Linked DNA regions of Macaca mulatta. Each later gene encodes a partner of the first gene's protein in a complex. Links are inferred from orthologs where the notes say so. Each region holds a gene or a part of one and is shown on either strand. Other genes may lie near its edges.

Evidence for each region.
Region 2: STX18 (region 1) and STX4 share a complex: the UniProt entries of both Homo sapiens proteins name them as parts of the SNARE complex. The link is inferred for Macaca mulatta from reciprocal best matches to the Homo sapiens genes STX18 and STX4.

What each region holds. Positions count from the first base shown.
Region 1 is NC_133410.1:8,445,489-8,449,913, forward strand, and holds the start of STX18 (syntaxin-18), read left to right. Parts: upstream 1-1,436; 5' UTR 1,437-1,454; coding exon 1,455-1,622; intron 1,623-4,425. UniProt on the Homo sapiens protein: Syntaxin that may be involved in targeting and fusion of Golgi-derived retrograde transport vesicles with the ER.
Region 2 is NC_133425.1:29,670,411-29,674,935, forward strand, and holds the start of STX4 (syntaxin-4), read left to right. Parts: upstream 1-1,428; 5' UTR 1,429-1,697; coding exon 1,698-1,727; intron 1,728-1,904; coding exon 1,905-2,006; intron 2,007-2,095; coding exon of another isoform or gene 2,096-2,117; coding exon 2,118-2,217; intron 2,218-2,353; coding exon 2,354-2,428; intron 2,429-2,864; coding exon 2,865-2,935; intron 2,936-4,525. Other genes in the region: uncharacterized protein LOC144337996, read right to left, coding at 1,038-1,157, 1,267-1,423. UniProt on the Homo sapiens protein: Plasma membrane t-SNARE that mediates docking of transport vesicles. Necessary for the translocation of SLC2A4 from intracellular vesicles to the plasma membrane.

The DNA.
Region 1 (4,425 bases):
TAAGGGCTCTAAACAATTTTTGTTTATATTGACATTATCGACATTCACTATATGAGAAATTAAAAACTTTTGATGTTTTTGAAAATCTTTTTTTTGAAGTCTGGCTTAATAGAAAACAGCTGTTCTGCATTTATTCCGTTGCAATATCACAGTCTAGCAAACTCAACTGTATGCAACTCATGAGAAAGTGAGAGTGAAAAGGCAAATAACATCTTAGTATTATGAAAATACTTTTATATTGACCATTAAAACCACTATTTTAATACACATTCTACTTGTGCATCCTCTTTATGGAAAAAAAAATCTTGAAGAAATCAATGAGATTTTGAATATCCTTAGGCCAGCCATGGTGGCAAGTGCCTACAGTTCCAGCTACTCAGGAGGCGGAGCCGCGGAGGATCGTTTGTGCCCTGGCGTTCCAGTCTGTAATGAGCTAGGATGGCGCCTCTGAATAGCCACTGCAATCCAGCCTGGGCAACATAGCAGACCCCCATCTCAAAAAACAACACAAAACAGAACCATGAACCAAAAATGCAGAAGAAACTCATTGACTGACTTGTCAATTTTAATAGCTATGGCTCAAGACGGTACAATTAAAAACTATGCATGAAGGAAGAACAGAATCCAGCGACATTAGGGCCACTCTTTCACCTTTGCCTCCATCTAAAGTTCCTATTCATCCTTCAAATCTCTGCACAGGTGACGCCTTTTCTCTACAGCCTCTTCCATCACCACAAATACGAGTGATTATAATAATATTATTAACGATTACTACCATTTATTGGCCACTTACTAGGAGCCAAGCAACATCAAAACACAGCACGCGTCAGCTCACTTAATTTTCACAGTAAACTCCGAGGAGGATGCTGGCTTCACTTTACAAAGAGGTGACTGAAGGGTGGAGAAGAAAGACCTCTGGCCTCTAGCTCTATGCCTTGCACATCTGCTCTGTCTCAGCACTTATTGCACCCCGAGGGTCACCGTCCAAGTGCCTCTGTCCTGCTCAAGGTGAGTCCTTGCAGTCAAAGGTCAAGGGTGGCTCGCCTCCACGTCCCCCGCAACCAAACCGCCCGCTCTCAGTGAGGGAGCCACCAGAAGGGAAGGAGCCTCCCAGCTTCCCGGTCCTCACGCTCCCGGAGCCCACACGCCCCAAAAAAGCACAGGAGAGCTCGCTGAGCTCTCCGCGCTGCTAAACCCTCCAAGCTTTGCCGGGAGAAAGAGGTGCCCGTGAGCTCGTCGCGGGGTTCCTCCTCCGCCAGGTGCGCCGCTGAGTTCGGAATCTTTTTCCTCCCGCCGCGGTAGCGGGGCTCAGGCCGGAACCTTTCTTCTCGCATCGCAGTTGCCGGTGGGGAGGAGTGCGGGGCAGGACCAGTCCTCCAGCGGCCGGGTTCTCGCCGCGGTCGCCGGCTGCTTACGTGAGCCGGCCCAGTGTGGGGCTGCGGGTACGGGTCGCTATGGCCGTGGACATCACGCTGCTATTCCGGGCCAGCGTCAAGACCGTGAAGACGCGGAACAAGGCGCTGGGAGTGGCGGTGGGCGGCGGGGTCGATGGAAGCCGGGATGAGCTGTTCCGCCGGAGCCCCCGGCCCAAGGGCGACTTCTCCAGCCGGGCCCGCGAAGTGGTGAGCTGGTTGCTATGGAAACGGCGGGTTGAGGAGGGGGCAGTCCTGCGACAGGGACCCCGAGCCCCAAACCACACCCCGTCCCATAAGCATTGTGTGAAGGAGGTGGCCCCAAGGGGGACAGGAGAGTTGGCCTCAGAGACCGGACAGCTTTTTGGGGAAGGAACAGCCTTATTTTAAGGAAGGGGGACGCATATTGGGGAACAGATTTCTCCTGCGGCGGCGGGGGTTGGGGGACGAGGAAGGAGACCCTCAGAAATCTCTATCTGGAAAGTGCACGGGCGGCTTTGTGAGGTCATGAGTTCGCCGTCACTACAGACTTGCACTCAGGGGAAACCTCACTGTCCTTCACTTCCTGTTGCAGAACTGACCACACCGTATTTGCCTGTGCTCTTTACTTGTCTGCCTCCCATCCCCAGATGAGATTAAAAACCATATTCATCCGAACTCTTTCTTCTCTTTGTCTCCGCGATAAGTAGGGCTCAGTTCCTCTTGAGACGAGTTTAGGGTCATCTTTCGCAAACACGGTGTTACAGTCATCTCAACTACTTTCTGTTCCCTGATCAGAGCAGGTGTCCCTTCATTTCTCTGGGAACAGGAACCTTTTCCTTAAGGGCAGGGACAGTTGTTTTCATCTCACAATGCATGACTCATAGCATTGCTTAGTAAATGTTTGTTGAATGAATGAATGAACAAAATGGCTGTCTTTCCCGTTAAACAGAAAATTCCATGAGGGGAGAGATGTTTGTCTTGTTCCCTTTTGTGTCCGTGACACCAAGGAGGGATCTAGGTTTTGTGGGGCCGAAAGTTTTTATAGTTATGTCTGCCGTCTTTAAGAAATAAAAATCACCAAGAGAGATTCAGAGCTTTGGAAGATGGAAGTGAGGGACCCCGAAGCTAAAACCTCATTAATTTCACAGTAAATCCTACTCTGCTTGGCATACACTTGGCACTGCATAGACACTCAGATGTTTTCGAATGAATGTATGCATGCATGCATTAATGACAGTTAGCAGAGGATACTTAAACATCAGAAAGGGGTTGGACCAGATGAATACACTCTCCCTATTGATGAACATCTATGAAGCACCTACTTTCTGACCAGCCTCATGTTAGAGTAATATGATGTAAAAGGAGTAGTGGAGTAGACGGACATAGACATAAAACAAGTGCCATAAAGCCTTGCAAGTGTTATGTAGGGCACAAAGAAGAATGTGGTCAGTTCTACCTGAGGATCAGAAAAGGCTTTATAGAGGTGATGATGCCCAAAACAAATCTTGAAAGAGGATTAGTTGGCTGCAGTGCAGAAGGGCATCTCAGGCTAAAAGAATAGTATGCGCTAAGATGTGGAGGTGTGTAAGAGTCTGATATAAGTTGGTTCAATAAACATTTGAGTGAGACTGGTATGTGGGACTCTCATAAAAATTGGACCGGGAGAGATCTTAAAGGGCTTTGTATATCACTGCGGAGTTTGAATTTTGCCCTCTAGGCCGTCAGATGTTATATGGTAGAGAAAGTACCAGAGAAGGAGCCAGGAGACCAGGTTGTTGTCTGAACCCTGCAACTGTTAGCTATATGATTTCATTAAGCAAGTGTCAAGACCTCAGTTTATTTACCTGTAAATGGTCTTTTTTTTTCTCCTCCTCCTTTTAAAAAACTACCCTGGTCCTCTATATATAACAAATTAAAGTGGAAGCTTCCTAGGCTGAAATGAGAGGAAGAGAAACAGGACACTCTCCCTCCCAGTTTGGCCTAAGCACTTCCTGGGGTTCCTTTTGTAGAACCGTGGTATGAATATCACAGTATTGGCGTTGTAAGGGTCCCTTCTGACTCTGAAACCACTGATTTATGAACACTGTGCTAATTTTGAGTCCTGCTCAGGGAAAGGGGGGATTTGGGAATGGTCGAGACAAGAGGCACAGTTGAGTTGGCAAGCCCTTTGGATAGCCCTGTGATCACTTCCACCGCTCCCTGAGTGGTGAAAATGTGTTTTAGACTTTTGAGTTAATGGGCCTCAGGGACAGTAACAGTCCTGTAGGGTGCTGAGTTCCCTGTCACTGGAAGTAATTAAACAGAGTGATGACTGCTTTTCAGAGATGTTTGAGAAGAACTTTGTGCATATGTCATAGGTTTGGACCGCGTGACAGTGAAACTTCCAATTCTGCTATGTATTGATGTGAGTAGGTGTCACATTACCTTAAGTGAGTACATGGGCTGTGTTGTTCAGGGACACTGTCCCCCTGACGTAGAGGAAACATACATTCTTGTAAGCAATTTTGATTTTGTGTTGTCATTGCTTTGCGTATTATCTCCTGTTCTTCCAACCATTCCCCACTCCCCATCTTCTTTTGTGGGAATTTTAACTAGAAGAGCTAGTGATGGATGTCCTGTGCTTTCACTATGATTAGATGTGTCAAAAGTTTGCCTGTTATTTTGTTTGGCCTGGATTCCTTATACAGAAAAGTCTGGTCAATACCAGAAGCACATATTCTAATTCAGGTTTAGCCCTGGTTGTCAGACTTAATGAAATGTAGTAAGTTATAGTATGCCTTTTGGTAAGTGCCTTCCTTGAAGCATTTGCTGTTACTTCTAGGATGCGTTTTAATCTGGTTCAATTTCTGTTCTTCCATTCCATTCCTCTAATACATGCCTGATGCCAGATTTCCATCTCACTGAATTGTTGTAAAGGTTATATTAAGTTTCATAAAATTGCATTGAAACTAAATCTTCCTTCCCTACCTCCCACCAATAGACTGATTTCTTCTGCATCATTCTTTTAAACATTTAACTTTTATGTTCAATT
Region 2 (4,525 bases), on another chromosome or scaffold:
CCATTCCTTTCCTTGCTTGTACCTTCACAGAAGCTTCCTGGACAGAGCCCTGGGGTCCAGGAGACCCGTTATTCATTCCCAGCTATGCTGAGACTTACTAAATGACCTTGGGGACTCCTTCTAGAGAATTTAAGTTCCACGAGTGCAGGAATTTTTATCTATTAGTCCTTGATGTATCTCCAGCCCTAGAACAGTGTTTGGCCCATAGTATGTGCCCAAAAATATCCATTAAATGAATGTTCTGTGCATGGTGGTGCATGCCTGTAATCCCAGCAGTTTGGGAGGCTGAGGCAGGAGGATTGCTTGAGCCCAGGAGTTAGAGACCAGCTTGGACAACATAGTGAGACCCCATCTTGTAAAAATTTTTAAAAATAAAAAATGAGTGAATATCTCGATAGCCAGGATTAGAGAAGTGTCACAGTCAGAAAGACTGAAGCCTAAAGAAGGCCAAGGAACCAGGGTCTTCATCCTCAGATACATGAAAGGCTAAGATTCTGTCCACAAGTATTTATAGAGGGCCCGTAATGTGCTTGGTACTGAGCTAGGAACTCCCCAGATTCAGTTAAGAACAAAGTCATTACCTGCCTCAGATGCAAGGCAGGGTCTGGGGGGTGTGAGTGGCAGGGAAGGCAGCGTGCAGAGACACTTTTCTTAGCCTGAGCTGCCCTGACATGGTCTGACAGCCCACAAGGTGGTGAGTGAAGCCGGGCTGTAGTGTTCAAGGAGGGCGCCGGCTGGCTGCCCACCTGTCAGAGGCTGCGCCAGGAGGATGCGGAAGAAGAGGTTTCTGCCTTGGCTGAGGTCAATTTCCACCCCTAGATTCCCTGCCCACACAACCCTGCAATTTTCTGACGCTGACGACTCGGATCCTATTATTTCCCGATTTTCAAGGTCCCATGATGCTGACAGCCCCAAATGCTAAGTCGTCAGTCCGCCCACGCCCCTGGACCCGAAAGCAATAAAGGCGAAGTCAGCAAGGGTCCTACCACCCACTGCCTCGAAAGGCCTCTGGGAGTGGTGGGCGCGCCCCTCCCCACCTCGCGGGGGCCGTGTGGGCGTCGTTCGGTGGTCGGAGTGCCGGGGACGTCGTGATGAAAACAGCGTCCCAGAGACGGCGCTGACCGAGCCGGGACACGTGACAGTCACAGCGTCACATTCTGCGGTCCACGAGTTTGGGACCGGGTTGGTCACGTGACGCGGTGGGGGCACCATGGGGTGATGTGAGATGCGGGTGCCTCAGATTACGTACAAATGACGTATTCCTACCCCTTTTGGCAACCAGATTTCCGTTGGAAGATGCAACGGTTCCGGTGACGGTAGCCAGTTCTCGCGTCCACGCAGCTCCGCTTCCGCTCGGGGCGCAACAACTTCCGACTCCACCTTCCGCGCCTCGGGCGAGGAAGAGACGCGACCATATGCGCATGCCCCGAATTTATCACGGAGGGGCGGGGCTGAGGCTGCGGGAGCTGGAGGGGGGAAGAAAAGGGAATTCCAACCTGTGGAACCTTGGGGGGTCCCCGGGGTCGGCGCCTTCCCATTGACTGTGGGCGGTGCAAGGGACGGAGGCTCTGGTGGCTCGTGGGGGTGTTGGGGTCCACAGGGGGAGGGAGGGGAGTGTCAGAGTGTGAGTGGGGTACGGGTATTCCAAGTTTGCCGGCCTCCCGGTCTGACGCCGGGGAGGGAGAGCTCAGGCCGCCATGCGGGACAGGACCCACGAGCTGAGGCAGGTGAGACGCCAGGGCAGCGGGGATGGGGGCGCGCGGACGAACTGGAACGCAGGACTCCTGGTCTTCGGGGTAGGGAGGGGTGGCTGATGGCCAGGAAGGAAAGTCCCGGAAGCCTGTGGGTCCTGCGGGGTGACAGCCGCAGCGAAACAGTGGTGCCAATGACTCCGGGCCTGGCAGGGGGATGACAGCTCGGACGAAGAGGACAAGGAGCGAGTCGCGCTGGTGGTGCACCCGGGCACGGCACGGCTGGGGAGCCCGGACGAGGAGTTCTTCCAGAAGGTAAGGGGATGGAGTCTTGGCCTGGATTCGCGAGGGGGTAGGAGGACCCGAGGAGCAGCGTGGTCTGGAGTACCCCATATCTCTTTCAGCCCTCTCGGTCACCCTCCCCAGGTCCGGACAATTCGGCAGACTATTGTCAAGCTGGGGAATAAAGTCCAGGAGTTGGAGAAACAGCAGGTCACCATCCTGGCCACGCCCCTTCCTGAGGAGAGTGAGTGAAACCCCGGCTGCATAGCGCATGCTCCGCCCCAGGGATTGTGGGGGTTGTAGTTCCACGCAGGTGGTGGCCAGGGTGGTTTGTTGAGGTGGGGGCTGCTGTTTGGGAGTCGTGGCCTTCTCTTATTCAGGCATGAAGCAGGAGCTGCAGAACCTGCGCGACGAGATCAAACAGCTGGGGAGGGAGATCCGCCTGCAGCTGAAGGGTGAGCTACTGGGACCTCAGGCAGATCCTTCCCTCTGATCCTGCCCTGTTGTTGGTATATCTGGGGAGTGTGTGGCCCAGAGAAGCCAGTGATATATCCAGGTCACACAGCAGGCCTGGTTCTAGCATCTCTGTCTTCTGGCCTCCAGGCCATTGTACTCTCCACAGCACAAGGCAGTCTCTCAGGTTCTTTTATTTACAATGAAACCATTTACTTACACAGTTATCACTGCCCACTGGGCATTCTTTGGGCAGGGAGATGGGGTTTTGTTAGGTGGCCTCTGCATTCCTACGGGAACTCAAGTGATGTAATGCAAAGAAAAATAAACTTACTTTCTCCTCTTGGAGGCTCAGCCTTAGTCATTTTATGATAAATTATATTTCCCTAAAAATCCTATGGAGACAAGTACCCCCAATACCCCTGTGTCTTCCCACAGCCATAGAGCCCCAGAAGGAGGAAGCTGATGAGAACTATAACTCCATCAACACAAGAATGAGAAAAACCCAGGTGGGTTTTTTTTCTCAGAAATGACATTTCAGCAAATGTTTCATGAAGTATTAGATGACAGATGTATGAAGGAAGGGCCTGTAGATGTCATGGAGTCCAATTGGATGATTTTTCCAAGTGGGGAACCTGAGCTCAGAGAGAGAAAGAACTTGCTCAAGGTCAGGAAACCAGGTCTCCTGATGCTCAGTCCGGTTATAACACCCTGCTTTATTTTCTTCCATTCAATAAGAAGTTACTTATTGACCCCAGACAAGACCTAGGCTTGACTGTGGGACACGTTTTCTTTTCTTTTTGCCTCAGCCTCCTGAATAGCTGGGATTACAGGCGGACACCACCATGCCGAGTTAATTTTTGTATTTTTAGTAGAGACGGGGTTTCCCCATGTTGGCCAGGCTGGTCTCGAACTCCTGACCTCAGGTGACCCTCCTGCCTTGGCCTCCCAAAGTGCTGGAATTACAGGCGTGAGCCACTGCGCCCAGCTGGGACACGTGTTTTCTAGGAGTCAACATGAGGAGTTAGGGTTCAATAGGGGATAAAGACATTACTCACGTGGGATCTGGTGGCTAATGGCGCTGCCCAGGGAAGGAGAGTGAGAAGTCACAAATTGACTGGCAGGTTTGCTATCTGTGTGACAGGGACATCCTTAGTCCCACAGGTGGAATTCAAGAAGTCAGGAAGTGGAACTTCCCTGGGGCGACACTGAAGAGGAACTCCCCTGGTGTAATATCTTTTTTTTAAAAATTATTATTATTTTTTTGAGATGGAGTCTCTCTCTGTCGCCCAGGCTGGAGTACAGTGGCACAGTCTTGGCTGACTGCAACCTCCACCTCCTTCAAGCGATAATCCTCCCTCAGCCTCACAAGTAGCTGGGATTACAGGTGTACACCACCACACCTGGCTAGTTTTTTATATTTTTGGTAGAAATGAGGTTTCACCATGTTGGCCAGGCTGGTCTTGAACTCCTGACCTCAAGTCCTCAAGTGATCCACCTGCTTTGGCCTCCCAAAGTGCTATGATTACAGGCATGAGCCACCGTGCACGGCCCCTGGGGTGATATCTTAGTAAGGAGATTTGCAGTGATCTGACTGGCCCTCTTTGTGTCCCCAGTGAGGAGGATACCAAGAGGTCAGGGTTGGAGTAGTTGAGCCCAGGGCTCAGCAAAGACCCCAGATTGAAGATGAAACAGCTTGGGCATCTTGGAAGGGTGCAGCTGGAACCAGGAGAGCAGATGTATCTCTGGAAAAGGAACTCCAAGGAATGAGCATATTTAAGGTCTCAGGAGAAGGGGCAAGGCAGAGCAGATGCCCCAGAGCCAGTGTTTCTGGGGAAGCCTCTGGTGGTGATTGGCATGAGTGGTCGAGGGCCCATGTGGGCCTGTTGCACCTGTTTCGCCCAGGCAGCATGTTCATCTCTAGGCATAGGAACTGTGGTGTAGGCAGCAAGGTTGGCATTCAGCAAGCATTCAGCAGTTACATATTGGGTGCCTACTGTGTGCCAGACCTTTTTGGAACTGTTTAGGGTACAGCAGTGAATCAATGATCCCTATCCTCATGGAACTTCCCTTCTGGTGTAGACAATCACCATAATAAA